4 linked regions of the Coturnix japonica genome follow. The main gene of each other region encodes a partner of the protein of the gene in region 2 in a complex. Links are inferred from orthologs where the notes say so. Each region holds a gene or a part of one and is shown on either strand. Other genes may lie near its edges.

Region 1 (7,236 bases), on a different chromosome or scaffold from region 2:
CAAGATTATTTGATGGCCAAAGGGGCCGATGCAGCTTTAAGAAACTACTGCTTAACCAGTTTTTCTGGCAGATCTTCATTTTGAGGTAAAATAGGAGGTAAAAATGTTGGGTAACGTTATCCCCGCTAAATAGAATAGGGTAAAATATCACTCCTCACATGGTAATTTCATTTATAGTATAATGAGATCTCTATCTTGAAAGCGGCTGCGTTGTTCTTGTAGGGAGCTCATAAAGAAACGTGTTTGTGTCTCTTGAATGAGCTGCAGGTCTAAAGGCAGCTCTGGTTTCTGCACTGAGCTGCTGTAGCTCTCAGACCGAGCTGAACTAACATGCATTGGGATGAGTTGAGGCTGAGATGTGCTCAGTGCCTGACTGTGCTCTCCTCCACCCCTCACAGAGCTGCTGGTGCAGGAGGGCATCGCTCCGTCCACCTCGACTGAGCCGTGGATATGCGACCTCGTCGGGGGAGTCCGGGTGCGTTGGAGGGGTGGTTCCTTCCATCCCTTGGTTTGTCCCACACTCTTGGGTTGGTGGCCGCCTTCTGGATCACAGTGGGTGTTCCCAGGTGTAGGCTGGAGGTTTAAAACCTATCAGAGGCTTTATTGTCGTGCAATACGATTTACATCGTTTCTGTTTTATCCCTCTCTCCACGCAGTGTTTCTGTAGGCAAAATCATCGGTGCAAGCGTCTTGTTTGTGGGTGGAGGAGTCGGGGGAACCGTCCTGTACGCCAGCTACGATCCACACTTCAGGGAGAATGTAGAGAAAGCCATTCCCTACTCTGACAAACTGTTTGAGATGGCCCTTGGTCCTGCACCGTACAGTGTGCCCATGCCAAAGAAACCGGTAAGCATCTCCCAATCACCTATTCAGCTGACGGCTGTGTAATGGTGCTGCTCGCATGTTTCCCTTTATCATGGAATCATAGAAGGGCTCAGGTTGGAAGGGACCTCAGGGACCACCGAGTTGCAACCCCCTGCCACATGCAGGGCCACCAGCCTCCACATTTAATACCAGCCCAGGCTGCCCCATCCAACCTGCCCTTGAACACCTCCAGGGATGGGACATCACAGCCTCTCTGGGCAGCTGTTCCAGCACCTCACCACTCTCATAGTACAGAACTTCCCCCTGACATCCAACCTAAATCTTTCCTCCCTCAACTTAAAACCATTTCCCCTTGTCCTGCTATTATCTACCCTTCCAAAGAGTTGACTTTCCTCCTGTTTATAGGCTCCCTTTAGGTACTGGAAGGCTGCAGTGAGGTTACCCTGCAGCAGTTTTCAGCTGCATGTTCTTCACTTGTGATCATGGAGGCTCTTAGTGCCTTCCAGGCACCGAGTAAACTTTAGCATCACACAGACTGCTCAGACTGAAATCCTGATCTGCCCAGTTATGGCTCTGACTCAGATGCTTTTGTTCTTACCTTGTGGCTTTGCACGATGGTTACTGAAAAATGAATACTTTCTTATTTTTGATTCTCAAGATACAACAAGGTCCACTGAAGATCTCATCTGTAGCAGAAGTAATGAAAGAATCCAAACAGCCCGTTCCCAAATCCCACACAAGCAAAACAGAAGCTGTTGCTCCTTCAGAGGAAAAAGAAGGTAACCTTATGGAATGTCACACGGAGAGAAGCAGAAGTGCTAATGTTCTCCTGTACCGTACATCCCACAGCAGATGGAGATGGGCTTTGGGGATGGTTGCAGATGTTTGTGCTGTAGTTTTGTTGAATTAATATTATTGATCATAAGGAAGTTTGCCTAGAAGGGCTTGAGCCATTTTTGCTTAGTTTTCAATTAAGTTTATTGACCTTAGAGTATTTGGAATCTAATATAAATGACTGCACTCCATAGTTCTGCATACAAGGCTCACTTTGGGTGCTGGGCTCTTGAGATATTCTATTTCTTCTTCTTAAGCAACTGCAGTATGCCTTAATTGGGATAATTGCTTGAGCTGCTTGTAAAGCCAGATTAAAAGGAACATAGAGAGTCACAGTTGGCATCTTTGTTCCCTTATCTGTCATGTCAGGTGAAGATCTGCGTGTGTGTAATTAATGCTGTCTCCTTTTCTGTAAATAATAACATGAATGTCCCAATGAAGTTCCTCCAGAGGAAAAACCCAGTGTCTGTTATTTCCCTGTTCTCACTTCAGTGCATGTGCATGTTTCAGTTCTGTAACTGTACTTAACAGCAGGCACAGCTGCAGCACAGATCATCTCTGCAACAGGGGTAGCCGCGTCAGTGCCAGCTCCGGGGATACAGCCTGAAGAAGGTGAAAAAGATTGCACGAATACCACATAGAACATCAAAATCCTGTCGCTTCAAACACATGGATCTGATGCTTAAATAATCTGCTTTTATAGGTAAAGAACATGAGGGTTCCCATGCTATAAAAGAACGATCGCCGGACGAGGTCGCGGCTCGTCTTGCCCAGCAGGACAAAGAGGAGCAAGAGAAGATCGCAGGTGAGCCCATACCTGGAGTTCTGCTACACATGCTGTAAGGGACAAAAGGATTGTTCCCAACCTCTTGTGAGCCACAGAAAATAACGTAAGGAGACACTTGAGATATAATGAATCACTTCAATGATGAGGCTGCAGTTAATTCCAGTATTTTCTTTCCAGCCCTTGCAGCAACACTGGAAGGAGCCCTGAGCTCTACGGCTCGTGTAACACTGCAGGCAATTACTGCACAGGAATCTGCTGTGCAAGCAGTGAATGCGCACTTGCAAATACTGAAGGAGGCAATGGACAACTCGGAGGTAAATTGGGCAGCTGGGGACTTGTGTTCATCGTGTAACTAAGGATAAAGTCTGAGGTTTAATGTTTGTCACAGTTTTACCTGATCTTCCCACTTGGGAAACGTTGTAGGGTTTAATAATAAAGTGCTTCTGCTTTTGACATGTCCCACTTTGTGTAGGACTGCTGCTTTCTGTTGCAGAGGGTATAATGGAGTGGTCAATCACAATGTCAAGGTTCAAAACCACAACAAAAACGATAGAAAGAAGAAATTCTTAAGAGCTTCCAGCTGTGTTGTTATTATCTGATGGGTAATTTTGTACCGTGGGCATTGTGATAACACTAATGATCGATCTGTGCTTGTCAGACTGCTGGGGAGAAGAAATCAGCTCAGTGGCGCACTCTGGAGGAGGCTCTGAAAGATCGAAGGAGGGCAGTGGATGAAGCTGCTGATGTCCTTCTGAAAGCCAAGTGAGTTCTTTGTATCTCCTACCCATACTTAAATACAGTGCTCCTTAGTTCAAGTAAGACTGAAGAAAACAATAACCCATAATCCTTCTAATATCATTTTGGATCATTTGATCATTATTATGCCTATTGTAAGAATTCAATTTGCTGCACTCTGGGTCTGTTGAGTCAATAACATCGTTGGCTTCTCCTAGCTGTGATGTAAAATTAAGTCTTACAGCACTGTTTGTTGGTTCCATTCTTCAGCAGAGCCACTCCTAAGGCTGGCTATTTATTAGATGTGTGCTCATGCATGTATGTGGTTATGCAGTAAGACCTGTATGTGTTATAATCAACAGCTTCATTTCTTTTCAGAGAAGAGTTGGAGAAGACAAAAGGTGTAATTGAGAATGCCAAGAAGGCTCAGATCCCAGGAGCCAAACCTCACATCATTGCTGCAGAGGAAAATCTTCATCATATGATAGTTGACTTGGACAATGTAGTGAAGAAGGTAACACTTCCAGCTGTTCTTCATCATCATTAGAACAAGGACTGATTGGCAGCTTGTGAGACCCCCTTTTTCCACGTCCTTTATAGCAGATCAAGTATTTCTTAGTTTAAATGCTATTTCTAAACACAATTTTCAGCTATAGTCAGTCTTTGAGCTGTGTGTGGTACCAGTGAGTTGTCTTGACAAGGACTTTGCATGAAAAGCCTGAACTCTGTCTTGGAACTCTGCAGCCAGTTTGTTCAGTGTCTGCTCTTTCCTTGGGCAGCTTTCATTTCCTTCTTTCTGATGCTGGACTTGCAGTTCCTTCTGTCTGATGCTGGACTTGCAGTTCCTTCTGTCTGATGCTGGAGTGGAATTAGGAAGATGAGACAAACTATTCAGGGTGCTGATTGGCGTAGTGTCCTCTCACTGAGTGTATCCAGTTGTTCTGGTGGTGGCTCTTGTGCAGGGCATGGGAGACATAGGGTTGGATTGCTGAGATTACTTTTTAACCTTGAAACTTGTTTCTTTGGATCTGGGGCACACCTATAATATTCATCAGGTTGGGGAGGAGTCTGCTGATGACTTTGTGGGTATATCACTTTATGGCTCAGAAAACAGGATGAAAAGTAAAGTTGAAATCATGCCCTTTTGCAGGATAATGGATTGCTCTGATGGAGGAATTTCAGTGGGGAATTTCTCTGAAGTGTGGGAGTACAGAACGCAGTGAGGGTTGGGCAGCTCCCTGCTGGGGCTGTGATGGCTGCATGCTGCTCTGATGGTAGAAAACATTCTGTAATGAAGGTGTAGAGCTGGATATCTCTAAAGGAACATATTGTGTTGGTTTTTTCTGAGCTACAGATTGACTACAGTATTACAGTGTGCGTGTGAAGAAGTGGATCTGTGTAGTTGGGGTAAATAATTACTGTGTATAAGAGGCTTGATGTCACAGGGCAGCTTTTCCCCAAGTGAGGATAAAGATCTCTGCCACTAACTCAGGTTTGATCTCAGATGACTTCAGTCTCCTTGGAAGATAAGCCAGTCTCCTTTTTTGTTTGTTACAGGTTCAGGCAGCACAGTCTGAGGCCAAGATCGTGGCTCAGTATCATGAACTTGTGGCTACGGCAAGAGAGGAGTTTCAGCGAGAACTCGAGAGCATCACCCCCGATGTGCAGCCGGGCTGGAAGGGGCTCAGTAAGTCTGCGGCGATGGCAGTCAATCGTAGAGCAGTTCATAGAGCAGCTGTAACAATGCCTGCTTTCAGGATTCCCTGATTCTGAGCTCCCTGATTCTTTCTAGATAACTGAAAGAGTGAATTCACTGCTCTTTAAATACTTCACTTATCCCAGTGTGTTAGTTCTAAAGGAGAGTGACACAGGAGTTGATCTGGAGTAACAGCCAGTGCTGCACAGAAGCAGTAAATGGCTGCGTGGTGTTTTCCAGCTGCTACAGTTCTTTGCCTGAGGTCTGACATCTGGCACACTCATGTTTTTGAGGTGCTTGGGTTTTTCAGCTGGAGCTCCTTCCTGCTTTCCTTAGAACAGATAAAAGTGAAGTGAGAAATGTGATTCAGAAGTACAGTTAGAATCTTTCTGCCTCAGTAGAGGGATAAATGTATTACTCAGAGTTGTTGGAAGGTTCAGATACCACCACAGTGTGATTGCAGGCAGGCAGGGAAGGAGTCAGGCTTGCAGTTAAATTCTTATGGCTAAAGCAAGTCAGCTCATCCTCTGTGATCCTCTTTCTTAATGGTACTTAATGCTCTAGAAATGTGAATGTTAGTCCACAAACTCATTTTCAAAGCTAAATGAAAACACCAGGCCTGTGTAACACATGGGGTTTTTGTTCTGTAAGAAGTTGGGAGAACTTACTAGGTTGAGAAACTGCAGTTTGCTGTGCTGTCTCTCTTATGTTCAATCTTCTGGGATATTAGTTCTGAAGAAAATGGGATTTGGCATCTGGAGATGGAGCTACCATTTCTAATGCAGGATAAGGGGAGGACATCCTGAGTATTGTGAGCACTGCACTGTTCTGAGAGAGGGAACATCCCGGCAGCTTCCAGGCGTTCAGTTTCACACCAGTGTGACCCTACTTAGTGTACAGGACTGACTCGATAGTGACTCTCACTGCTACCTGGGAATTTGTCTCTTACCCAACTGCTCGTTTGTAAGGACCTGGAAATTCTCAGTGTCCTGTTGCACTTCTTTACTTGTATTTCTCGCTTTGACTGAACCTAAAGGTTCATCTGTGGGTTTCCAAAGGCAGCTGTAGTGGTGGGGATGTTTGGGTTACATCTTGCTTGTAACAAGGAGGGATCTCCGGAGTCTGTTCTTGAACTCCTGCAGCCTTGGATCACTCTAGACCAGAAGCTTTTAGTTGTCCATTGTACTATTGCACGACTGACTGCTGTAGTGAATGTGCATTAACTTCTCCAACCTCTCCTCTTTCTGTTGCAGACATAACTGATCTAGGTGAGTTCCTGTAACTTTTTCTGGTCTTGTGAATATTCTCTCTTTCCTCTTTGTCCTTTTTGATGTTTGTGTGGTGCACCACTTTAATTACATGCACTATCAGCAAAGCAGTGAAAAATATCCCTGCAATATTTCAGACTGGGCTGTGCTTTGGGATCCTTGCCGCTAGTTCTGTATGTGCTGCTTAAACCAGACTTTGTCTAGCAGCTCTCACTTGCCAGGTGAGTGTGGTTTGCATTGGAAAGCCACGCTTCCACTTGCTTTGTGTATTTCAGCCAGTCACCAGCTGCTGCTGAGATCCCAATGGGAAACAGAAATGAATCCATCCTAATCAACAGTGGTTAATTCTAACTGACAGTGGTTTGCTTCAACTTTGGGCCTGATTGAGGCCGGCTCCTGCTGATACCACCAGCACATCTGGGTGCTCTGAGCTGGGTCACCAAACTGAGGGACTGAATTTGGATTTAATCTTCATGATTGATTTCCTCTCTGATTCTGAGGTTGATTTTTCTGAGCTCCTTGGTGGTGCTGCTCAGCTTTTGGGTCAGACCTGCTGCACCAGATAACAAATAGCAACATCTGACTGTGAACATTTGGCCTGGAGAGCTGCTGAACAGCATGAATTGTAGATGTGAATGATTCAAATGAACTGGAGTAATTTTTCTCCCAAGTGCTGGGAAGTTCTTATAGATTTGGTTCGGAAAGGAGCATTTGGGTGGGCTTTACCACCAATCAGTGTCTCTTAAAACGTGCTCACAGGTCAACCATGTATGGAGCCCTGGAGCTCTCCAGGGGTAGGAGGTGGGGTAGCTTCTCTGCAGCTCTTTCTAATAGCGCCTTGTTGTTTTTTAGCTGGGCAGTTATCAACAGACGACTTGAATTCCCTGATTGCACACGCGCATCGTCGCATCGACCAGCTGAACAAGGAGCTGGCTGAGCAGAGGGTCAGGGAGCAGCAGCACATCGAGTTGGCCCTGGAGAAGCAAAAACTTGAAGATAAAAAGGCACTCGAGGCAGCTGTGGCAAAAGCACTGGAGCATCACAAAAGTGAGATTGAAATAGAACAGGAGAAGAAGGTAAAGTGGTGGAAC
Region 2 (7,722 bases):
CAGAGTCAGAAGGCATTAATGTGCCCAAACCCACACACAAATGAAAACATTCACAGAAGGCATGTGACTGTTAACCACCAAGGTGATAAAACTTTTAATCAAAGAAGTCTCCATATCTCAGAATGGCATAAGTTCAAGGATATGGGTGGGAAGCACTGCTTTGTGGCTGCTCTATTCTCATGCACTCCAGAAGCATCTGCCATGGGTTACTTTCAGAAGTGGGCTACTGCCAGAACAACCTTCTGTCCAAACCATCATAGTCATTTTCACTTCAACTTTATTTACTCAGTCCCCAGCATTATTATTGAGCTTGATGATCCTTGAGGTCCTCTCCAACACAAGTCATTCTACAACTGTAACTTCAAAATGCTTCGCAGCAAAAATCACATGCCTGGGTAAGCCATGCCTATTGCTATTCAGCATACAGAAAAAACACGCTCACAAAGATTCTTCAGTTCAAGTTCAAGCAAGAGACCAGCAGGACAGAACCAAAGACAACAAATACTGCTCAAGTCTGCCCCCTCTTCCTAAACTGTCTTTTCAGTATGCACTAGGATAAGAGAATTACTCTTAGCCCAGTTCTCTCAACAAAGATCCTCAACACACAGGCAGTGTGACCTCAGTGCACGAAGCACAGCCTCACCTTGCATCCCACTGTAGCTCAGGAAGAAGTAGTAGCTCCAGTAAGACTCTGCATTGTGCACAGACAGTACAGCATTGGCATAATAACCAGTATTTAATAGAATACAACATAAGACATTATCAGACGTTACCAGGATGATAAAAGATCCAAGATTTTTTTATTGTTATTAATTTGTGTACTTGTACAACCAGAACCCAGGAGCACAAAGCGAAGTTTTATGACAGATCAGATCAGCAGAGTTTGATCCTGTGCATACTAAAACATTTGTTTCGTACACTTGCCAGTTTAAAAGAACACACCGTCTCAGACAACAAGCCCATACACACAAAGCACACTGACCATTCATCCTCCTTCTCCCACAGGTCAGGCTGCCCTTAGCACAGTCTTTGCTTATGCCATTTCCTGCAAGTCTGGCCTTAGAATTGCTACCTGAGAGGCAACAGGTGCAGCTTGCCAGCTATACTGTAAGCCAAGGAGTAGAGTTATGAGATGACAAGTATTTCAGACTAAAGCAGTTTCTAAACTCAACACACAAGTGACACTTAATGAACCCCTTCAAGCAGAGTGATTCCAGTCTGTACCACGTGGGAATATGGTGGAGGTTGTTGTTACTTACCAGCTGAGCTGCTCTATTCCTCTCTTCATTAGTGCTGTTCCACTCCCGCTGAAGGGCAGTACTCAGCATCTCACCAGCTGCTTCCCTTTCTCTTTTGGCCAGCCGGAGCAATTCCTCTTGGACCAGGGCCTGCTCCTGCTCATACCTATAGGGGTGCCAAAGACAAACAGAAAGAAGGCGATCAGCTGACTTCTGGCAACAGGGTTACGGCTTAGCATGGACAATCCGTGACAAGGGCAAAAACACAAATGCAGAACCAGTTTGGCACAAAGCCTGCTCACAGTCCCTCTGTTATCAGCAGTAATTCAAAAGTCCAACAAACTTCAAGCATGACCCGCAGTTTTCACAAACATACAAGTCAGGCAAAAACAGCAAACTGAGACCCATACAAATTTATATTTCAGTTATTTAGCTCTATTAAGTACTTAATTACCACCTAAAAGTTGCAATGATATAAAGTAGTTAGTTAGATAAATAGATACTGCTTTGGACAAGATGAAAGGACAGACCACAGTAAAAGGAGTCAGTCTATCTCACAGCATAAAAGGAGCTAAACTCACCTCCTGTACAGTTCCTGCTCCGCAACTGTAGCCTTCTGATCAGAGTTACCTGGTGGCTGGATTCCTAGAGAGAAAGAACAGAAACCCATAAGAACTGTAATACAGAACACAGCCTAAATTGTTTGATAAGAAGAGAATACTTAATACATGTTATTCCATCAAGACGATAAATAACAATCCTAGACAAGTCTCAAGAAAATTTAAATCTGATGGAAATAGACTTAATGAAAGAAAGAGATACTGACAACACTGTCAGCACTGCCTTCAACAAGGCACACTGAACCAAGTAAGGATGTTACACACAGACACTGCTTTATACTGGAAAATAAGCATAGCTTTAGTCCCACTTTCTAGTTGTTTCTTCTAGCTTCATTAAGTCTTCCTGCTTTCCTTGCAATTACAGAGATTAAGTTATTTAATGGAGTTCATCCATAAAATTGAAACCACTTTCGGAAAAGATGTAGGCTAACAGCAAACCAGTTTCTAACAGCAAAGGCCTGGTTCATTAACTTTGTGTTAGTTTGTATGCCTTAAATCCATACTGATAAAGTTTATCAACAAAGTATATTTGCAAACCAATAAAATCAAATCATTTTATTAACTGTAAAGAAAGTAAAGTTCAGAAATCGTGTTCTCACTGTTCACTTGATGTGTCATATAACCTGTGTTTAGTCACTTCCCCTCCAAGAATGAGTTTATTTCCAAAGGACAAAAGGCAGCATCTCCCCCCCCCCCACCACATACTCCCATCTGCATGGAAAAGGGACAGTAAAACAAGTTTCAAGAAACAAAAGATAACATTAAAAAATTACTGAATTACTGCCTTGCTTATTGTGTGTTTATCTGAACTTCTACACTCAAAGTCACACAAGTTCCTTAATGCATCTGAGAACCAAGGCATTCTAAAGACAAAACAAGAGCATCTACATAAACAAGTTGTCTTCCTTAATGTCCCACAACAACAGAACAAGAACCACAGCATTTCAGCAGCTCTTCTCAGGATAGTTCATGCTATGTAACACAAACAGAAGTGCTAAGCAGCATATTGTCCTTCTCACAAAGCACCAACATTACTTCTGATGTGTTCTTGGCAACACCACATAAAGTATTTGCAGGTAGGCCAATAGACATATACAGAAAGAAGACTGGAACTCACCCAGCTGGTGAAGGGGCTCTCCTTTATACACACTCCTTTGCAGGAAGCAGCATAGGTCCAAGAGATGCTTTCCCTTCAGTGGCTGGCATTTATATGAGAGCCTAGGGGGACTCCACCCCTTCTGGTCTCATAGGGAGACCAGGTGCAAACAATTTGCCTGCGCTCCCTGGGCCAGCTGCATCCCTTTACCAAGTGCTCACCACCAGATCAAATCCTGGCCTAACAGTTCCCCTACAGGTGTCAAATCAATAGACCTGACAGAGACTGGCAGTACCTGTAGAAGATTTGGGTTTCCCTTCTGCAGCTGTTGAAGATGGAGCTGTACCACTGGATGAATAGGGTGACCTCTGGCTGCCCCTTTTACTTTGAGATTCTTTCATTCGATTCACTACATCTTCAGTGAGCTAAAACACACACATAAGAAAGCAATTAATCATTTAGTTAACTAACCATTTAATGTACATGTATTTCAGTATAAAGGCGTCTAATTTGTTGGTTTATAAGCTGCTGCAAAACCAGAACTGTTTCTTGGAAGGGACCAAAGACATCTGATCAAACTGCCTGAACACTCAAGGACTAACGAAAAGTTAAAGCATTATCTTTATCACTGGGCATCATCCCAGCGCCTCTTGAACACTGAGGGGTGTTGGGCACCAATCATCTCACTAGGAAGCCTGACCACCCTCACAGTGAGGGTGCTCTGCTGCTCTCCTTGCAAGGGATGGCATTAGAGGCCATACAGAAGTCATTTCCATCTGCCAAGCAGATGGCCGTAGCACACAAGGACACAGAGCTGTGTTACATCTTTCAATGCATCTTCACCTTTCATCTTTCAATTACATCTTTAATTTCCATTAAAGCCAGGCTGTGACCTCAACACTGAGAAACACAAATGCATACTCTATCAATGGGCAATAAAACTTCCAGCCTAAGGACACACTAAGGGTCACACCTGCCTAATTCCAACCTGAAAGGCAGCAGTTAACTCAAAATAATTCCATTCTATAGAAACATAGTGAGAAGGGGCTGCCAATAGAAAGATACCCGGAGCTGTGAAAGCCAACAGAACGCAGCCTTCACGGTCAGCCCACGGGCACACACACAGTGTGTATCATCACAAATGGCATCCAAAGGAATACAGACCAAAGGAATATGAAATACAGCCGCTGTGGGCACAGGCCGGCCCGGGGCTGCCGCACTCCCACCGAGTCAAGCCGCGGCCGGGCCCGCCGCCCCGCAGCGCCTCACCCTGATGCCCTGCAGCACCCGGACTTGGTCCCGCTCATCCAGCCCGAAGGAAACCTTCCTGCCGCCCTGGCTGCTCTCGCTGCCCCCCATTGCCGGCGGGGCGGCCCTTGGGGATGCCTCAACCCCCCCTCCTCGCCCAGCAGCACCGAGCAGCTCCTCCCCTCTGCCGGCGCCTGCCAACATAACGGGATCCCATTGGCGAACAGCACCGAGGCGGCCAATGGTGTGGATTGAACTCCGAAAACAGGCTCCGTTAATACCTGCTAAACTCATTGATTTTTGTTAATTCTCCGTAATACACGTCGTTTAAGAAAGAAAGTATAACCGTTTATGCCAAACTTCACCGTATTCTTTTATTTTACAAACAAAAATATACATTTATTCTATATTTAGGCTCTTTATACACACACACACCCCCAACACACACAACACTTCTGCTCAAGGCCCGTTGTGAACACGGCCCAAAGCCTTATATACAAAGAAATACACCAGAAGGAAGGTCGGCCCATGGCCCAGCACAGGAGCAGCACACAGACTAAAGTCCTGCTGCCAAAGGACAGGGTGGACACACTGACCACCTGCATAGGTGACCTGCTGAGACATTCAGCTTTCAGCCCTGTCCAAGGCCAACAGACTCCAGGGAGGCTCTGCAGGTTTCCCCCACACTTGCAAAGGATCAGAGTGAAAACAGGAGCAATTCGGACACCACATCATCCATCCCTTTGACAAGTAAAATGTGGCTGATGCAGGTTCACATCAAGCAACGGGAGGAGCACAGCACACTCCTCTCTATATATATTACTAATAGTATCAATGCTACCCAGGAGCCTGCAGGGCAAAGTCCTCAGGCTGCAGAACTGAGAGGCTGCATTGCTCATTAACAAAAAGAAGATAAGTGAGGGGCCTGCATAGTTTCAGCAACTGACAGAACTTTGTGTTCTTACCCAAACTGCTTCTTCCCCTAAGTGGGAAATGCTTTCCCTGCACACACTTGTGATTCTAAACTGATACCTCCATGCTGCACAATGATTCCCCAAGAGCTCTCACCCCAATATTGTTTTTCAGGAACAGCTGGAGCAAGAGATACACAGTGCTGAAATGTTTCATATTTCCTCTCTTTCTACTGCTTTTAATGGGAAGTTGCTATCACCTACAGCACATCTCCACCTACCAAATGACTCGGGTAGGTTCCCCTAGAGCTGACCTCCCCAAAGCCAGGGGAAGCACAGTCTGTCTCAGAAACCAGTTTATTGCAGTTATCAGCTTAACAGTCCCAGAATTGGAACAAACTGTCTTGGAACTGCACGTCAAGCAGCTCTGTCAACAGTCCCTATTCCAGTGTGGAAGAGGCTAAGAAATTCCAGATAGTTTTTAAATGAACCACACTTCACATGCCCGTAAGTACTTTAAGTGTATCAAGATGAAAAGCCTATTATGGCCAGTAGAAGTCTGGGGGATCTGAACTGCAACAGAAGAGGACACAACCGCAGAAGCTGTACCAGAGTATCCACCTCCCAGCCTAGAACATCAGCCAATTCGATCCTAAGATGCCTGTGGTGTTTGAGAGCTCCCAGTCGCTAGAAACTGCCAGCTCAGATTCATCAACTTCTGCTCTGCTTCAGGCATCTAAACATCTCTGAAGCCTTCATAAGCAGAGACAGCCTCTTCCTGCACGGCCCTCTCCCTGACCCCAACAGAGCCATGAAGCACAGTGCAAATGTAACATACACCTACCGTACAAGCTGTGTTCTTGAAACTCCACCCTGCTTCAGTGCTGTGATTGAGGTGTTCCTGCGAGCTCAGATGAACAGCAGCGCAGCCTCCAGATTGTTTCACAACTACTTCAGCTTAGCTGGGCAGCAGCTGCCTGTCCTGCCTCCCTATAGTTCTGTCAGCTCACAGTGCTGTAAGCTACCAGCCTGTGCCTCCCAGAACAACCCTAGGATACACTGGACAGCTCATTTCTCTCCACACCTCTCTTTTCCTTCCTACACACTCAGAACACAATCCTTTTAACTCCTAACATTTGGAATTCACAGCTTTCATTAGCATTAGCTGAAACCAGAGGTGAGTCCAACTGAGCACCTTCATCATTTGGACACAGCTATTGCCGCCTATGCTGTGGTTGTGACAAGATCCAGACAACTGTGCTGCCTGAGAAAGCCCAGGAACACCAACTTTGGTTTAAACCACCAAACTCTCTCCATATGTGTAGAATACACAGTCAAATAAACAGCTTCTAAATGACATTCCCTTAGTTGGCAGATAAGTGCTGTCAGTCATTGAAAAGCAAGAGGTACCAGTCAGGCCTGTCCTTCTGGGTCACATTCACATCTGGAACACGAAGAATCAGGAAGGTTCAGTGTTTATAGGTTTATGAACAGGACTGTTCTAGATTGTTCTCAGGCAGTGACGGGAAATGCTCTTTCCAAAAAGGCTGCCAACTTAGTTCCACAATAGGTTTCAGAAATCCTAAGGAAAAGAGGAAAGCCACAGCAGATAGCGATGAACATATTTCCAGTGGATATCTTAACATCCTCAGAATCAGGGAGTTTAAAAGGGAAAGTGAGGCATCGGGTGCAGGGAGAAGTCCTGCCTTAGGCATTGATGGCTTTCCAACGATCGCTGTCTATGCTGTTGATGCTGCCCACATGATACGGCATGGAGGCCACGTCATCCAGGTAGGCTGTGGTATCAATCTGAGTGCTTGAGTAGAACCCAGAATCCATTCCTTCCTTCTTGGCAACAGCATAAGCATGGGGCAGGTGCACATCCACATCTTCAGGTTCATCCACCTGACATTTGTAGGAGAAGAGGATCTTCGGCTCAGACCTAGAGTCATTCAGGATTTAAAATAAACATTTAAGCAAATTATCTCATGACAGCCACTTACCCTTAACTGAAACTCAGCAGCACTGACACAACATATATTTAAGTATTAAAGAACTTTTCACATTGCTTTCAGTCTGGATATAGTCACTGTGGAATAACTGCCATGAAACAATGCTAACTGTAGTTCTGGACTAGGCTACTGAGGGGAAATAAAAACAGCAGTCCTGACATCAGTGTCATGAGCATGTTCTCCTCTTTGTGAGTTCTGAACTACAGCATCCAGGCATCACTGGACTTCACAGCAAACAGAAAGATTCCATTTCTCATCCCATTTGTATACAACAGGAAAAACAAAATGCAAACACTTGCAAATCAGCACTTTCTATCTCCAGGTACCGTTCTGATTCCAGAAGACATCAGAAACATTTCAATATTTTAGGAGTACCCTCTATTCTTAGTTATTCTAAAGCCTGATTGATGTCTCTTGCCCACGGACAATAAAACGTACAGCTTACACATAAACCACTTTCCTATCAACATGCATCTCCCCTGAGTGGCCACACGGTGGCACCCCCAACCCAGTAATCAACACTAGACAGAGCTTTCAATAATTGACCAGGCCCTCATATAAGAACCCCAAGCCAAGGGGTTATTTAATAAGAAAGCC
Region 3 (7,236 bases), on a different chromosome or scaffold from region 2:
TCAGTAGGTCTCATCACAGGGCTTGTCTTCATCAGAACCATCAGGAGTTGTTTAATTCAAGTCAAACCACTGCCAAAGCGTCACTCCTCATATACAAACACGTTTGCTCAATTAGCAATTAATAAATTCTTTTAACTCCAACCGTAGCCTGTGCTTACTGCATCAGTAGTGAGCCTGATAAAGCATTAAAGCAGGTAGCCAGAAAAAGAAGTCCTCCGAGCTGGCACAGGATATAAACACGCTTAATTTTACCAAGTGCCAAGGTCCTCAAGTCACACCCAAAACAAATTAGAAGCAAACAAACACGTTTAGGTCAATGACCCAAAAGACAGCCTCCTCCGTGGCACAATGCCTTCTTGTAATTAGAAGCAGGCACATAGTCAAAAAATCTTCCTATTTTCTGGCTCAACACAAGCACTTCATAACACATCTGGGTGAACAGAGTTCATGCATCAGATTTCTATCCCACAGCAGGAGAGGAAATATTTTGTATTGTTATGCAACTGACATTTTCAACTGTGTGATGATTGTAACAAATCTTCCTAACGCACTCCTGTATTCAATACACCAGGATTCCACAAGATTTAAAGAAATATATATATATATATTTCTTAATATATATATATTTATATATTATAATTATTTATTTATTTATTTATTTATATTTATGTACTGATATATTATATTGATGTATTATATCGTTATATGTAATTGAAAATAATAAAAGTAAGGGGGAGGGAGCAGTGGGGCTCCCAAAAGATAGAGTATGGCCCCAGAAAAGAAAAGGAATTACACAAGAAAAACAAAGCTTTTTAGGCTCACAGATACATAATTTGCACTTTCTTCTGTCTCTTTTGTTTGCCAGGTATTTATTGCTTAGCATAAAGATATCATCCTCTCCCAGTCAGTCAATAACAACACATTTTCAGCTGCTTACTTCTAGTTGAGCTTGAAATTTGCCCTCTCAGAAATATGGAGCACTTTAAAAAATGTTACTGTATTTTAAGTCACCCTAAAAAGCACAGCCTATAGTAGGGTAGATTCTTCGTTTTTCACCTCTCAAACACCCACATTCATCACAACCCAAACTGAGGATCCAGCCCAAAAGGAAACTGCAGCCTTTTCAAGTTCTACTCTGTTTTTGTCTTACTACCAAACAACAAAAAGTGAATGTATAACAGCAGGCAGTACTTTCTGTCAGAGGCGGATGTTTATCATTTAGTTCAGGTAGCTGTCAATCTCAAGAAACCACCAAATTGTTAATGTTTTTTTAACAGGAAATGCCCCTACCTATTTATCTGTCAGCTGCTCATGCTCTGTTCTAAAATATACTTAAACCACAAGTGACTCAAAACTCTCAAAGCACAATTTAGGTTTGCTATGATGACCATTTATCGTGTTCATGGTAAAGTTACCCAGCCAAGACACCGACACCACAACTTCCACTTTCATTGCTCCCTTGGTACAAGAGCAGGAAATGAGCACCCCAAAGCTGAACAGTCTTTAGGCTTGAAAGCACTCTGTGACCAGCTGATGCTTAACAAGATACTCAAACAGCTGTGCTTAACTAAGCATGTGTAGTTCTGTACATGCATACATATGTACTTAGACATATGCAGAAAGCATTGGTAAATTACAGATAGTTTCTATCACTAGACCAGGAATGAAACTCAAACAATGAGCTGTATGAGTTTCTCTGAATTTCTGAAGCCGTTTTAAAAAATAAACAAATGACAGCATGGGGAAAAACTAAAAGAATCAGTCTTGTGTAAGATGTTATTACTGATTGGAACAAGGTAAGAAAAAGCACACACTATTTTTCTGTGCTTCAGTATGTTTCAGCTCATGGCTGGAATAAAACCTGTGTCCAAGTGACTTGGTGCAAGAACACAGGGCTCCATGACTGCAACCACTGAAGCATGAGAGCTAACAACCCTACAGAACAGTACAGAGGATAAAAATAGCAAAACCAGAGACAAAAGAGGAAGGACAAAAAAGGTTGTGTTTTATGACAGCTATCATCAGATGAGCTGAGTGACAAACAAGAAACTTACAGCTCAGATATATTAAACTGGGGGTCTGAAACACAGACGTTTAAGTAGCTTTCAGTAAAGAAGTTATCATCTTTCGCATATAGAGCTACAGCCCTTAAAGCTGTTGCACAAAAATCCTCCAGCCATTATAGTTGTTTTAGCCCTCTGATCTAAGAGCAGGTATTATAGTTACCAAACTCATGGAGAATTAAACAGAGATCCTGTAGGGAGGAGAAAAAGAAGCTGCAATTCACAGTTCAGCAAACACTGAATGGGAAAGCAAGAAGAAAAGCGTAGAGGAAGGAGATCTTGCATGGATTTAATTGGGCAAAGAGACTAATTACTTAACAAAGAGTAACCAGAGCCAATGCAGAGCATGAGCCTTCATAATTGCAAAATTACAGTAATGAAAGTTTGGTATGGCCTAAGGCTACTCAAAAGAGCTCCAAACAGTATTCATCACTCCTAAAAACTCTATAAAATCATAGATATGATTCTCTATAAACTACAAACCAAGATAAACAAGGTTTGAACTTCACTGTCACCTTTCCTGAACACTGACTACTTGGTAAGATAAACGTTAACAGTAATTTCACTGATTTTTGTGAGATCCCTTCATGTGAGACAGTAATCAAGTAAGCAAAAAATATTCAGAAGATAGAATGCTTCAAATACACCTGGCCCACCAAGTAGCTGGTTACATTTCTTGCTCTGTGTTCTTTGTCTGGGGGAAGACATAGGAAAGTTGTCCCCTTGATATCAAGGTAACATAGGCAGAAGATGAATAACTACTCCTCATGTCCTTTTTGAAGAAAGCGTTTCATCCTTCTTTAAATAAAAAACATGGGCATAGATTGTCGCTTATGGTACCTGTATAGTTTCAGTTGAACACTTCTCATCTGATAACCACTTCCTTCAATGAGCCAGTGTCAGGATACCAGAATGCTGCACTGCAAATTACATATTCAGAACTACAGACTGACTTGCTCCTGTCAGCATTTCAAACACTGCAGCAAAAAGTCCTGGAATTCATCTTTCTTGGCAGAACGTAGGTGATATGGCCTCGATTTGGCATAGCTTACTGCCTCATAAAACCTTTAGGAAATCAACATACCACATGTATTTTAATGACCTACTGCTGCACAAACATGAAGTTATGCACAGCTGTGGTGCCTATGACCATCAAACAAATCATGGGCTGTGTAACAAATTAACACAAGCCAAGAAGAGCCACCCATATACAGTTCAACTATTTGCAAGGATCCTTCATGTAGCAACAAAGAAACGCTAGAGCAAATGTCACAAAAACAAACAAGTAACATCATTTGCTCTGGCATGGCCTCAGGAAATAAGTTACAACCACCAGGATAAGAATTCAAGCACAACTTTGCTTGAACTTAAGAAGTCCAGCTGCCTGCTACATCGAGAGGGAAAGAATATAGAAAAACAATCTGATAATTTTGACATCTTAGGACACAATAAAATAAAAAGCTCAGATAACTGTTACTGATTCAGTCCATCTGCCTTCCTGAAATATTTTTACGTTGCCTATTTGTTTGAGACATTTTTTGATAGACAAGGTTTTAGGAGAGGTACAATATGATTAACTAACCTCTGGTTATTCAAAGAGTAATACAGGTGCATTAATTGAAGAGCCTAGGAGTCAAAACAAGGTGACTATTCACAAGAAAAGTCAGCTGACAACAGCTCTCAAAAAACTCAGCAACTGCTAACACAGGTGAGCATTCCTCCAACCCATTCTGTTTGGAACCAGCGCTATACCTAGACCCACGCAGGAAACTCATTCCAATATCCAATACCCTCTCGCAAGTGCAGTTGTCTCTCTGCAAACTGTTTCTCTTGATGTCCATCCCACTTACTTCTTAGAACTCTGGGTTGCAAATATCTTGCTGTGGTCAGACAGTACTTCTGGTTTCTGTTCCCAGAACACCACCGTTAAAGCAACACATGAAAATCTTACAGGCTGCCCCTCATGCATATTTTACTAACCTGCACAATCATTCAGTGTCTTACACTGCAATTCACTGAGCCATCCACATGTATGTGGATAAACTTTCTTTATCTATATCAGAGGTACAACTACAAGGACAGCCTGCCCCTGAGGGCTGATGGAAACGTGCAGTAGATAAAAAACAAACATCATTACGATAATTAACTCCAGAAGCTTTAGGCAGCCTATAAATTATGATCTAGACATTACATAATGTAATGATTCAACAAAACGAGTTCCCCTTTCTTCACAAGTCAATTCTAATTGTCAGCTAATATCACCAATCACACTGCACTAATTTTGAATCTTTGCTTCCTACAAAATGCATTTGAAGTAAAACAGCACCTTCCTTCGTATTCTGTGGGTTTTCTTTTTTGTGCAATATTTATGAATAGCTGCCTGAGCATAGTGATGCACGGCATGCTGCTCTATCAGACATTACTATCCAGTCCCAACATACAGACCTAATACAAATAAACAATGATAGACATATCATTAAACTTCCAACCACTTTCTGAAATTGAAATAAGCCCAGTACTTTTTCCATAGCTTAGAAATATAATATGAAATCTTTGTCTTTAGAAATGTAAGCTGAGTCAGAGTAAGTAAGATCATTTCTTTGTCTAAAAACACGCTGGTAGATTTTCTCCTAATCCAGAAATCAAGTTTCTCAGCCTTCTTACCTTATCACCTTTTTTCCCATATCTCCTCTTTTTAGGATTATCCTTCCAAAGAGATTCTACAGCAATATATCCCTGGAGACTCCAGTCATACAGCTGGGCACCAGCAACCTTTGAAACAAAAGATATTTGAAAGCATGAGTCTAACAATCTCAGAAACATTAATGTGTTTCTCATTCACGTGGAAAAAATCCCAGGAGAACCCAAGAACTTGAACATCTTCCTGCTCAAACTCAGAGAATAAAGCCCTAATTAACATCTTTGAGAAAAATAATGCATGGGGAATTAGAAAAGCCAACTTGCTAGAAAAAGCTGTTAGAAGACTATGTGAAATACAACTGTATGAAAAGCAGTGGAATGATGCTGCACAGAAGCAATTCTAGGTTTTATAATCTGAGTAATCTATGCTCAATATATTTAATATACACAAATTATTTCTTAAACTGTCCATGCTCACTTTAAAGACAAAACATTCTTTCTCACTTTGATATTAATTTGCAATTTTACATTTTCACTGTCTTGATAAACTAGTAGGAATGCTCCCTTGTCTCTTTTTATTTGCAATTTAGAAGAAAAACCTGATTTGCTGATAGATGGCTGTAACAAATAATTAGCGATTAAGCCTCAAAACAGAAGATAGATAAGGAAAGGCAGCGTTTGCTATATTACACCTACAGGGAATTCTGTAACAGGACAAATCCCTACGTCTAATATGAGAATTCCCACCCCTTATGTGATATGGAACTATAATAACGATAGCATTGATAGATCCATAGCATCCTAACATCTAAGAGTTTTAGGTTTTCACAGCTCCAGGCACACATCAGTAGTAATTTTCAGATTAGTACCTTTTTCTTATAAAAACAGAAGCAAAAATAGACAATTTGTCCAACTAGATGGATTAAACTAAAAATTGTATGAAATGGAGAAATGAGAAGGTATCATTTGCTCTTCAATAGCAAAACTGGAAAACCACCACTATGAGATCAGAGCAAGTGTGATTTGTCTGAAGTTTCTTCCAGCCTCTACCGATGCACTGCTCAGAGTTTCCCTGAGCCAGAGGCAATTCCTGTAAGTAACAATGCCCAGTGAACACCTCCTTATGAACTCATCCCATCTCCTCTGGAGTCACATGCGTCTTTTTAGCATCCAGAACATCACATGCTGAGTTCTACTGCTAGGCACATATCACACAAAGAACGACCTCCTTCTGATTGAACAAGATTAGCTACATCAATTGTGCTCCATCACCATGACAGATATGGGCAGAGATCATGCTGCCACCTTTGTATTACAGCTTACATAAAATTTCAAACTGTACTCCAACCTCATATTGTGATTTTTTTAGTGCTGCATTATATTTTAGGAAGTGCAAATAAAAACCTGTCCATCTGCAACGTGCATACAAGGATAAATACTTCATAGTAAGGTACAGAAGCCCACATAGGTTATTCCACCACAGTCAGCGTTCCAACATTGCACACACCTCTCAAGAGGCAGAACCCACACGGAGTTCACATGTGCTGAGAAACACAGTTCTAGTGAGACTGTAAGCTGCAAGTTACAAGGTCAACAGGATTACTGCCAAGAAATTCTTGCTAATCATCTGATACACCCCCTTGTTAGCAGAACGCTAGAGGTTGTGTTGTATCTTGTACTTTACACCTCTCTCTTTCTCATGGAGTAGTTTCAGAGGAAAGAGGCAGGTACTGCAGTCAGCACCATGGCTCTAGGGAGTGGCAGTTACAATCCAGGAAAGTAAAAGGAACAGTAAGTACAGAAGTTCATTCAGCTGGTACTAAGTGTTCATTTGAGCACTGACACAGAGTTTCCTTCAGAAAAGGACATGTTCTTTTTTTCTGACAGTCATCTGCCATTCTTAATTTCTGAAAGGTAATTTCCAGTTTGTTTGCATTAAATTATTACACGCTAAAATACCTCTGTTTGGTGCAACACTGGAAGAAAGTTTGCATGCTAAAATGTAAACAAACAAGTTCAAAAGTCAGACTGACTGGTTTTCTGAAGTAGTTTGAAAGTGACCTTGGGCTACAAGTAGCCATATTTGCCCTGCTGTAGCACCATCAGCATAACCTAAGGCCAAATACACATGTGAACACACTTCCATCTTTTAACTCCACACGAGACTGTAAGTATATAATACTGAATATTCTGTATGCTGTATGTCAAGATTATCAAGTAGAATTATTCTTTACCAAAACTGCACGCTGAGAATCTAAACTGAGGATCTGCTGCCTTTTCTGCTGTACACCGCTAATGAAGTAGTCACAGTACAATTTTACATGCCTCTTCTATTCTGCAGTGAACATGGATCAATTGAACCCAACTCCTCTTTTTCAATCTATAGTCTCTGTAATTGTGTCATGCTCTCAGTTGCGTCAGCGTAGCTGATTATGCCTTACAGAATCAAACGGACATGGGAAGAGATATACATTCAGAAGAAAAACAATTTTGTTTGTTTACAAGTAAGTAAACTTCCGTATTAGGAAGTTTT
Region 4 (6,586 bases), on a different chromosome or scaffold from region 2:
AGAGCGGATGGAGAGAGAGAGACTGGAGAGGGAGCGGATGCACATAGAGCATGAAAGGAGGAGGGAACAAGATCGCATCCAGCGAGAAAGGGAAGAGCTGCGACGGCAGCACGAGCAGCTGCGCTATGAACAGGAACGCCGCTCTGCCATGAGAAGGCCGTATGACATTGATGGCAGGTAAAGGCAATGTGAGGGACGGGAGGAGGGGGCTTGGCTGCCGGGCTGTGGCTGCAGCCTGCACTACAAAGAGCTGTTTGTCTGCCCAGAGCTGCACTCACTGCGTACCATGAGGTGTGTGTGTGTAAAGCCTCAGTTGTGCTCTCCTGTCTGAGTTCTATCCCTGCTTCTGAGCTTTTTTACATGTGTTTTTGGTGTGCAGTTTAAACTGGGAACAAACACCAAAAGTCACAAACTGGATTACAACATTTTCTTCCTGTCAGGAGGGATGACCCGTACTGGCCCGAAGCGAAGCGGATGGCGATGAACGATCGGTACCATTCTGACTTTGGCCGCCAGGATCGCTTCCACGACTTCGACCACAGGGATCGCGGCCGGTACCAAGACCACTCGTTGGACAGGTTGGTGCCTCTGCTGCCCCAGCTGAAATCAGAGGGTGGAGATGCCTGAAGCATCACATCTTGCTGCCTTCTCTTTACTGGGTGTTACTTCTGCACTTCCTTTTTTAAGCATGATTTAGTAGCTGTGAGTTTCTCTTGTGAAATTGAAGAGAAGTGTTTCTGTGCCACCAGTTCAGTGTTTGTTTAGCACCTGTTCAGTTGCTGCTTTGCAGATTTGTGAGCTTCTGAGAAAAAAAAAGGGCTTTTGAAATCATATTGTAGCTCCTTAGTGGAGGACATTGTACTTCTGGGCTAGCTGGGTTTCCCAGCAATCTCAAGTGTTGTGGCTTCCTTGTGTTCCTGCCCCACTGCTGTGGCTCTTGTAGGCAATGCTGGCAGTACATGGAAAGAGGATTTTCTGTCTGTTATATAGATACGGTAATAACTGCAGCGTGTTTTCCAACCACTGGTTTTAATTGTCTGTAGGAGGGATGGATCAAGGACGATGATGGGAGATCGCGATGGACAAGTGAGTTGATTTTATAAAGCTGTAGAACTGTCTTAACTCTGACAGCCTGGTTTGCTGTAGTTTCAAATTAAAATTATAGTGCTAGGAGTATCTATCAGTGACAAGATTGCCTTGCTATAAAAGTCAGGTACATTTACTGTGGTACACAGCAAACAAGTGTGTCAGAGAGGTGGGGGGGTAAGAGAGGTTGTTCAGAGAAGACACAAGTAACATAATATTAACTCTGTAAGGTGGCAAAACTCAGTCGGTGTTGGTGTGCTCTTGTGGCCTGAGGGGCTGGCAGTGAGAGGTGGCTTTTACTGCTGGCTGAGCTGTGGGATTGTGAGAGAAACTGGGCAGGGAGGAATATCACAGAGATCAACAGGAAGAAATAAAGATGGAGCTGGTTCTGTGCGCTCACACACGTGTCTTTGCCTTGCAGCATTACCCAGATGAGCGCCATGGAGGCCCCGAGCGCCACTCACGGGACTCCCGGGAGAGCTGGGGCAGCTACGGCTCCGACAGGAGGATGAGTGAGAGCAGAGGGATCCCCCCCCCATCACGGTCAGTTCTTGTGCAGATTGTGAATATTGGAAATGCACTTTTTGACGTGATTCTTTTTCACACACCTCCCTCCTCAGCCCGTTCCCTGCCCTGCACACCAGTGGCTCTTCCAGCTCACTCCTGCACTGCAGCAGTGCCAGGTGTCAAAGATGTAACTCAGGCTCTTCCTGCAGGGATGGCCGCGACTGGGGGGACCACGGGAGGAAATTTGAAGGGCACCAAGAGCGTTCATGGCAGAGCAGCGTGGATGGAGGGATGATGGGACGGGATCACGAGAGATGGCAAGGTAAAGCTGCCCTGCATGGACACAAAGCAAAACGGCTCCTGTGGGCACAGAGGAATCACTCTCACTCTTTTATAGGTGGAGGTAGAGGGAGACCTGGCCACGTGATGCACCGTGGAGGCATGTCAGGGTAAGAAGCTTAAAAAGAGCAGAGCATTTCTTTGCTTTCCATTTCCTTTCAGGGTGAGTCCCTTGCATTTAAGTGAGAATTTTAGGGGATTATCAGTTACACAATTTGTTACTGAAATGTCAAGGGATGACAGAATATTCCTGTGCTTCATTGGAGAGAACCAACCCCAAACCATCTGCCCCACTTTGCAGGCGAGGAGGGTTCATGCAAGGAGGGAACCAAAGTCAGCTGATGCACGGAGGGGGGATGCAAGGGGAGGGATTTGCCGGCCAGGAGCGAGCGAGCCGACCCAACGACCCTCGCTTCAACCGTCGCTACTGAATGTTTTAATTTCTAACGCTACGTGGCAACTGCAGTTGGTTTGTCCCTGGGGTGTCCGGCCCTTGGAGCTCGTGGGTCACTGTAAGTGGAATTTCTTTTTTAAGCTGCTGCCATACGACGTCACTCGATCCAATGTGAACTCATTTGTTTTGTAACGTGTTGTTCATATCCTCATTTAAAACTGTTTGTTAATGAAGCATTCCATTTTCCATAAATAAAAAAAAAAACAGTTTACAGTTCACGGCTGCAGTCGTCTCTGAGGCACCTACTGCTATGAAGGCATGGAGCAATGGGGGCTATTTGTCAAAACCAACCCCAATGAAACCAGAACTTCAAAGTCTTTTATTGCAGCCCTTGTGGCTGAGCTGTGGGAGCAGCACGGGACGGACAGAATGAGAGCGGGACAGAGGATGTGCTCAGCTCACTTGACGAGATCCTTGAGGTAGTTCCAGCCCTGAGCCGTGTATTCACACGCTCTGCTGGGAGCCACCGACAGGGCAGACATCAGCGTGTGCACCCCTGTAAGGGACATGGACAGTCAGCACAGCACAGCAGCAATGGAGGCACATGGCAGGTTGATTTGTGGCACCAACCCCAACCCCGGCCAGTGTGTGGTTCTATGACAAGCTGCAGCACTGGCCCCTTCCCACAAATAATGAAATGGGATTTTACCTTTATTCCAGGAATCCGAGGGGGAGAAATCCAAGGTTGGAACGGGTGGGAGCTGCAGAGAGAAAGAAAGAAAGAAAGAAAGAAGGGCAGCAATGGGGGGCAGGGGGATCACGGAGCCCAAAGGGGTTTGGTGCTACATCAATGAGCATCAATGAGAATCAATGAGAGTCAATGGGCATCAGTGAGCTCTGGGCTCTGAGCTGCAGTAAAAGCAGAGGGGAAATACGTGACAGCTTATAATAGGATCCGATATGGAAAAGCTGCTGGTTCCTTCAGGGTCTCCCTGTCACTGTGGGTCCAAACAGACCCGATGCTGCTCCTTATCCCCCCCTTATCTCCCCCCTTATCTCCCCTTATCTCCCTTATCTCCCTCTCACCTCCCATCCCACGTGTCCGCTCCATTCTCTCACCGCAGCCGGTAGCGCTTCCCGGGCCCGTTTTAAGGCCTCTGCCCCCTCGGTCCCGCTGCCCAGCAGCCCCTGATCGTACGACACGTACACGGCGGCTCCGGCCAGGCCTCCCTTGATGGCGAACCTGCAGGGACCAAAGCAGTGACTCGGTTCGGTTCGGTCCCGCCGTTACGTCCCTCCCATCCCGGGTCTGACCGCGGTCACTGACCGGATGAGCGGCGCGATGCGGGCGGCCATGACGGCACCAAGGGCAGCGCCGCGAGGGCCGCCGGGAGCCTCACGTGACCGGAAGAGTGGAGAACCACTTCCTTCTCAACCGTTACCACGGCAACGAGCGCACGTAGGAAGCTGCGGCCGCCGCCATCTTGGGGTGAGGGGTCGGGGCGGGCAGTGAGGGGGCTGGGGGCCGCAGGGCGGGGAGTGGGGGCCGCACCCGCTGAACGTGGCGCTGTGAGCGGCGACATGATGGGAGATGAGCGAGATAACGGGGTGATGAGGCCTGACCCGGTCCGACACCTTCCCGTTGTGGGGGGGCAGCCCGTTCTATCGCCTCCATCCCGCCCCGTTCCGCTCGGACTCCCCCCGTCCCCCATCACTGATCCCGTTCCGTTCCGTTCCCGCAGCTCGTTCCCGTCCCGCCCCGTCCCGTCCCGCACACGATGGTTCCCATCACGAAGCTGTTTTGTGCCGCGGGGCTCCTGGCTGCGCTGCTGTGTTTGCGCTGCAGGGACGACCCGTTCCACGCAGGTATCACGGTCCGACACTCGGTAACGGCCGCTCAGTCACACGCAGCCCCCGCTGTGAGCGCGGCCACAACCGGCCCCGGCTGCAGCAGCGGCTCCATCCGCCCCCACCCGCCGCTTCGTGCCCCGTTTCCCCGCACACTTGTGTCCGTGTGTCCGTCTGTGTGTCTGTATCTGTGTCCGTGTGTCCCGTTCTCAGAGCTCCTTTCCGGTGCCCGCGTGCTTCTGACCGGAGCCAGCGCCGGGATCGGGGAGCAGTTGGCTTATCGCTATGCGGCCTATGGGGCTCAGATGGTGCTGACCGCCAGGAGGGAGGCGGCGCTGCGGGAGGTGAGGGAGGAGGGAACAGAACGGCGGGGACTCGGGCTTTGGGCTTCGGGCTTTTGTGGCTGTTTTGTGCTGCCATCCCCTGCACTGACCCCATGTGGGTTCCCCTGTGCTGGGTTCCCCCGTTGCTGTCGCCCAGCAGCGCTGTTGCAGCGCGTGTTTCTCCCACCAGGGGGCAGCACCGCAGCCCGATGTTGCTCCTTATCGCTGCTCCTCCCCCCCACCTCACATTGAGCCATTGGCACAGCGCTGTTTTCGCAGGTGATGGAGAAATGTCTGACCCTCGGAGCAAAGAAAGTCTTCTACCTCCCAGCTGACATGTCTTCACCTTCAGAGCCCGACAGGGTGGTTCAGTTCGCTGTCCAAAAACTGGGTAAGCGGGACAAGAATGGCAGCACAGCCAAATATCTGCTGTATTTACCCCTGTATTTACTGACTGCTGTCTGTGCCCGCAGGAGGGCTGGACTACCTCGTGCTGAACCATATCGGCACTTCCCCGTTTGAGATGTGGGGCGGGGATGTGGAGCACAGCCGCTGGCTCATGCAGGTGAGGATTCCCAGCAGTTCTTGTGATTCTGCTGCTCCTGGGACAACCTGGAGGGGCTCGAAGGCAGATTCAGAGCTCTGCCTGCAGCCGAGGGCAACCGTGTGTGTGTTTCTAGGCTGATACTTTGGAGCCTCCCCTACTCACCTCAGTGTTGTGCTGACTTAACCTTCCTTTCCTCCTGTCGTTCCCATTCTCACCCCACTCTCCCTCTCAGCTCTGCTCTGTTTCTTTCAGCTCTCACTGAACTCGAAGCATTTTCTCTCTGTCTCCATCCTCCCCCTCCTCCTCCAGGTCAATTTCTTTAGTTACGTTGCTCTGGCATCAGCCGCTCTGCCGGCCCTGGAGAGGAACCAGGGCTCAGTGGTGGTGGTTTCTTCCCTCTCAGGTCAGTGTGTGGCTGCACCGATGTCCTTAGGGCTCCATCCATAGGGCTCCATCCATAGGGCTCCATCCATAGGGCTCCATCCAGCTGCAGGGGGTGGGTCAGGGCCGTGTCTGTTTCTCCGTTGCCGTTCATTCCCCACCGCCCGTTGTATCTCCCAGGGAAGATCCCCACCCCATTCACCACGTCCTACTCAGCCACCAAGTTCGCTCTGGATGGATTCTTTGGGTCCCTGCGGCACGAGCTGATGATGCAGAGGAAGAACGTGTCCATCACACTGTGTGTGCTGGGCCTCATCGACACCGACACGGCGCTGGAGAAGACCCGGTATGTGTATATACGTATATATACGTGTATATACGTGTATCTATACGTGTCTATGTGTGTTCGGTGCCGTGACGCCCGTTGTCCCATAGTGGCCGTGTTTTCCTGTCCGCGTCCCCCGCGTCCGACGCGGCGCTGTCCATCATCCGCGGGGGCTGTTCCCGCGTCCCGGAGCTGTTCTACCCGTGGTGGCTGCGCCACGTTCACGGTCTGTGGGTGCTGCTGCCCAACCCGCGTGTGCTGCAAAGCTTCTACAACTACAGCAGCCACTGAACCGGCGGAAACACCGGACAGAGCGCGGCGTGTCCAACCGCAGGCAGCGGACGCGGGGGCAGCTGGGGACCGAGGGAGAAAAACGTTTATTAATCCAAGGGGCGGCTTGTTAGAGCAGCCTGCACCGCCCCGTCCAACCCGCCGGTCCTTCCCGTTCCTCGTCCCGGTCGCAGTCATGTTGGATCCGGTTGTAGCGGAAATAAACACATGGTGCCGAGAGCGGCCATGGAGTATCAAAATGGTCTTTACAGTCAGTAAACATGGACTAACAGACACAACAACCCCCCGCTCTGGGTTGGGGGCTGCAGCCCCGACCCCCCCACCCCCATCCCACATCGCACACGGTTCCCCCCAACGTCCCCCCCCCCCGGCCGGGATCGGGGCAGAGCTTCATGCTGCGGAACCGGCCCCAGGTGGAAGGAAGAACCGCAGCGATGGCGGCACCAGCAGAACCCAACGGGGAACATCCCACTGGGCCGGGAACCGGCAGCGCCTGCACAGCGCCGGGTCCTGCACAGCCCGGGCGGCTCCAGCAGCTCCTCATC

What was found.
Region 1: CHCHD6 (region 2) and IMMT share a complex: the UniProt entries of both Homo sapiens proteins name them as parts of the mitochondrial contact site and cristae organizing system (MICOS) complex. The link is inferred for Coturnix japonica from reciprocal best matches to the Homo sapiens genes CHCHD6 and IMMT.
Region 3: CHCHD6 (region 2) and APOO share a complex: the UniProt entries of both Homo sapiens proteins name them as parts of the mitochondrial contact site and cristae organizing system (MICOS) complex. The link is inferred for Coturnix japonica from reciprocal best matches to the Homo sapiens genes CHCHD6 and APOO.
Region 4: CHCHD6 (region 2) and MICOS13 share a complex: the UniProt entries of both Homo sapiens proteins name them as parts of the mitochondrial contact site and cristae organizing system (MICOS) complex. The link is inferred for Coturnix japonica from reciprocal best matches to the Homo sapiens genes CHCHD6 and MICOS13.

The regions. Positions count from the first base shown.
Region 1 is NC_029519.1:77,503,565-77,510,800, reverse strand, and holds part of IMMT (MICOS complex subunit MIC60), read left to right. Parts: intron 1-398; coding exon 399-552; intron 553-656; coding exon 657-846; intron 847-1,483; coding exon 1,484-1,604; intron 1,605-2,190; coding exon 2,191-2,271; intron 2,272-2,362; coding exon 2,363-2,464; intron 2,465-2,623; coding exon 2,624-2,760; intron 2,761-3,104; coding exon 3,105-3,208; intron 3,209-3,559; coding exon 3,560-3,695; intron 3,696-4,738; coding exon 4,739-4,868; intron 4,869-6,130; coding exon 6,131-6,145; intron 6,146-6,997; coding exon 6,998-7,221; intron 7,222-7,236. UniProt on the Homo sapiens protein: Component of the MICOS complex, a large protein complex of the mitochondrial inner membrane that plays crucial roles in the maintenance of crista junctions, inner membrane architecture, and formation of contact sites to the outer membrane.
Region 2 is NC_029527.1:7,383,337-7,391,058, reverse strand, and holds the start of CHCHD6 (MICOS complex subunit MIC25), read right to left. Parts: upstream 4,400-7,722; 5' UTR 4,314-4,399; coding exon 4,224-4,313; intron 3,380-4,223; coding exon 3,250-3,379; intron 1,884-3,249; coding exon 1,820-1,883; intron 1,405-1,819; coding exon 1,260-1,404; intron 1-1,259. Other genes in the region: TPRA1 (transmembrane protein adipocyte-associated 1), read right to left, coding at 6,821-7,055. UniProt on the Homo sapiens protein: Component of the MICOS complex, a large protein complex of the mitochondrial inner membrane that plays crucial roles in the maintenance of crista junctions, inner membrane architecture, and formation of contact sites to the outer membrane.
Region 3 is NC_029516.1:107,431,946-107,439,181, forward strand, and holds part of APOO (MICOS complex subunit MIC26), read right to left. Parts: intron 4,836-7,236; coding exon 4,728-4,835; intron 1-4,727. UniProt on the Homo sapiens protein: Component of the MICOS complex, a large protein complex of the mitochondrial inner membrane that plays crucial roles in the maintenance of crista junctions, inner membrane architecture, and formation of contact sites to the outer membrane.
Region 4 is NC_029543.1:713,816-720,401, reverse strand, and holds MICOS13 (MICOS complex subunit MIC13), read right to left. Parts: upstream 3,761-6,586; 5' UTR 3,683-3,760; coding exon 3,654-3,682; intron 3,570-3,653; coding exon 3,413-3,569; intron 3,088-3,412; coding exon 3,036-3,087; intron 2,883-3,035; coding exon 2,785-2,882; 3' UTR 2,685-2,784; downstream 1-2,684. Other genes in the region: scaffold attachment factor B1-like, read left to right, coding at 1-177, 441-578, 1,044-1,086, 1,508-1,629, 1,803-1,915, 1,991-2,042, 2,234-2,363; HSD11B1L (hydroxysteroid 11-beta-dehydrogenase 1-like protein), read left to right, coding at 4,105-4,192, 4,388-4,518, 4,777-4,888, 4,971-5,062, 5,354-5,447, 5,606-5,771, 5,861-6,041. UniProt on the Homo sapiens protein: Component of the MICOS complex, a large protein complex of the mitochondrial inner membrane that plays crucial roles in the maintenance of crista junctions, inner membrane architecture, and formation of contact sites to the outer membrane.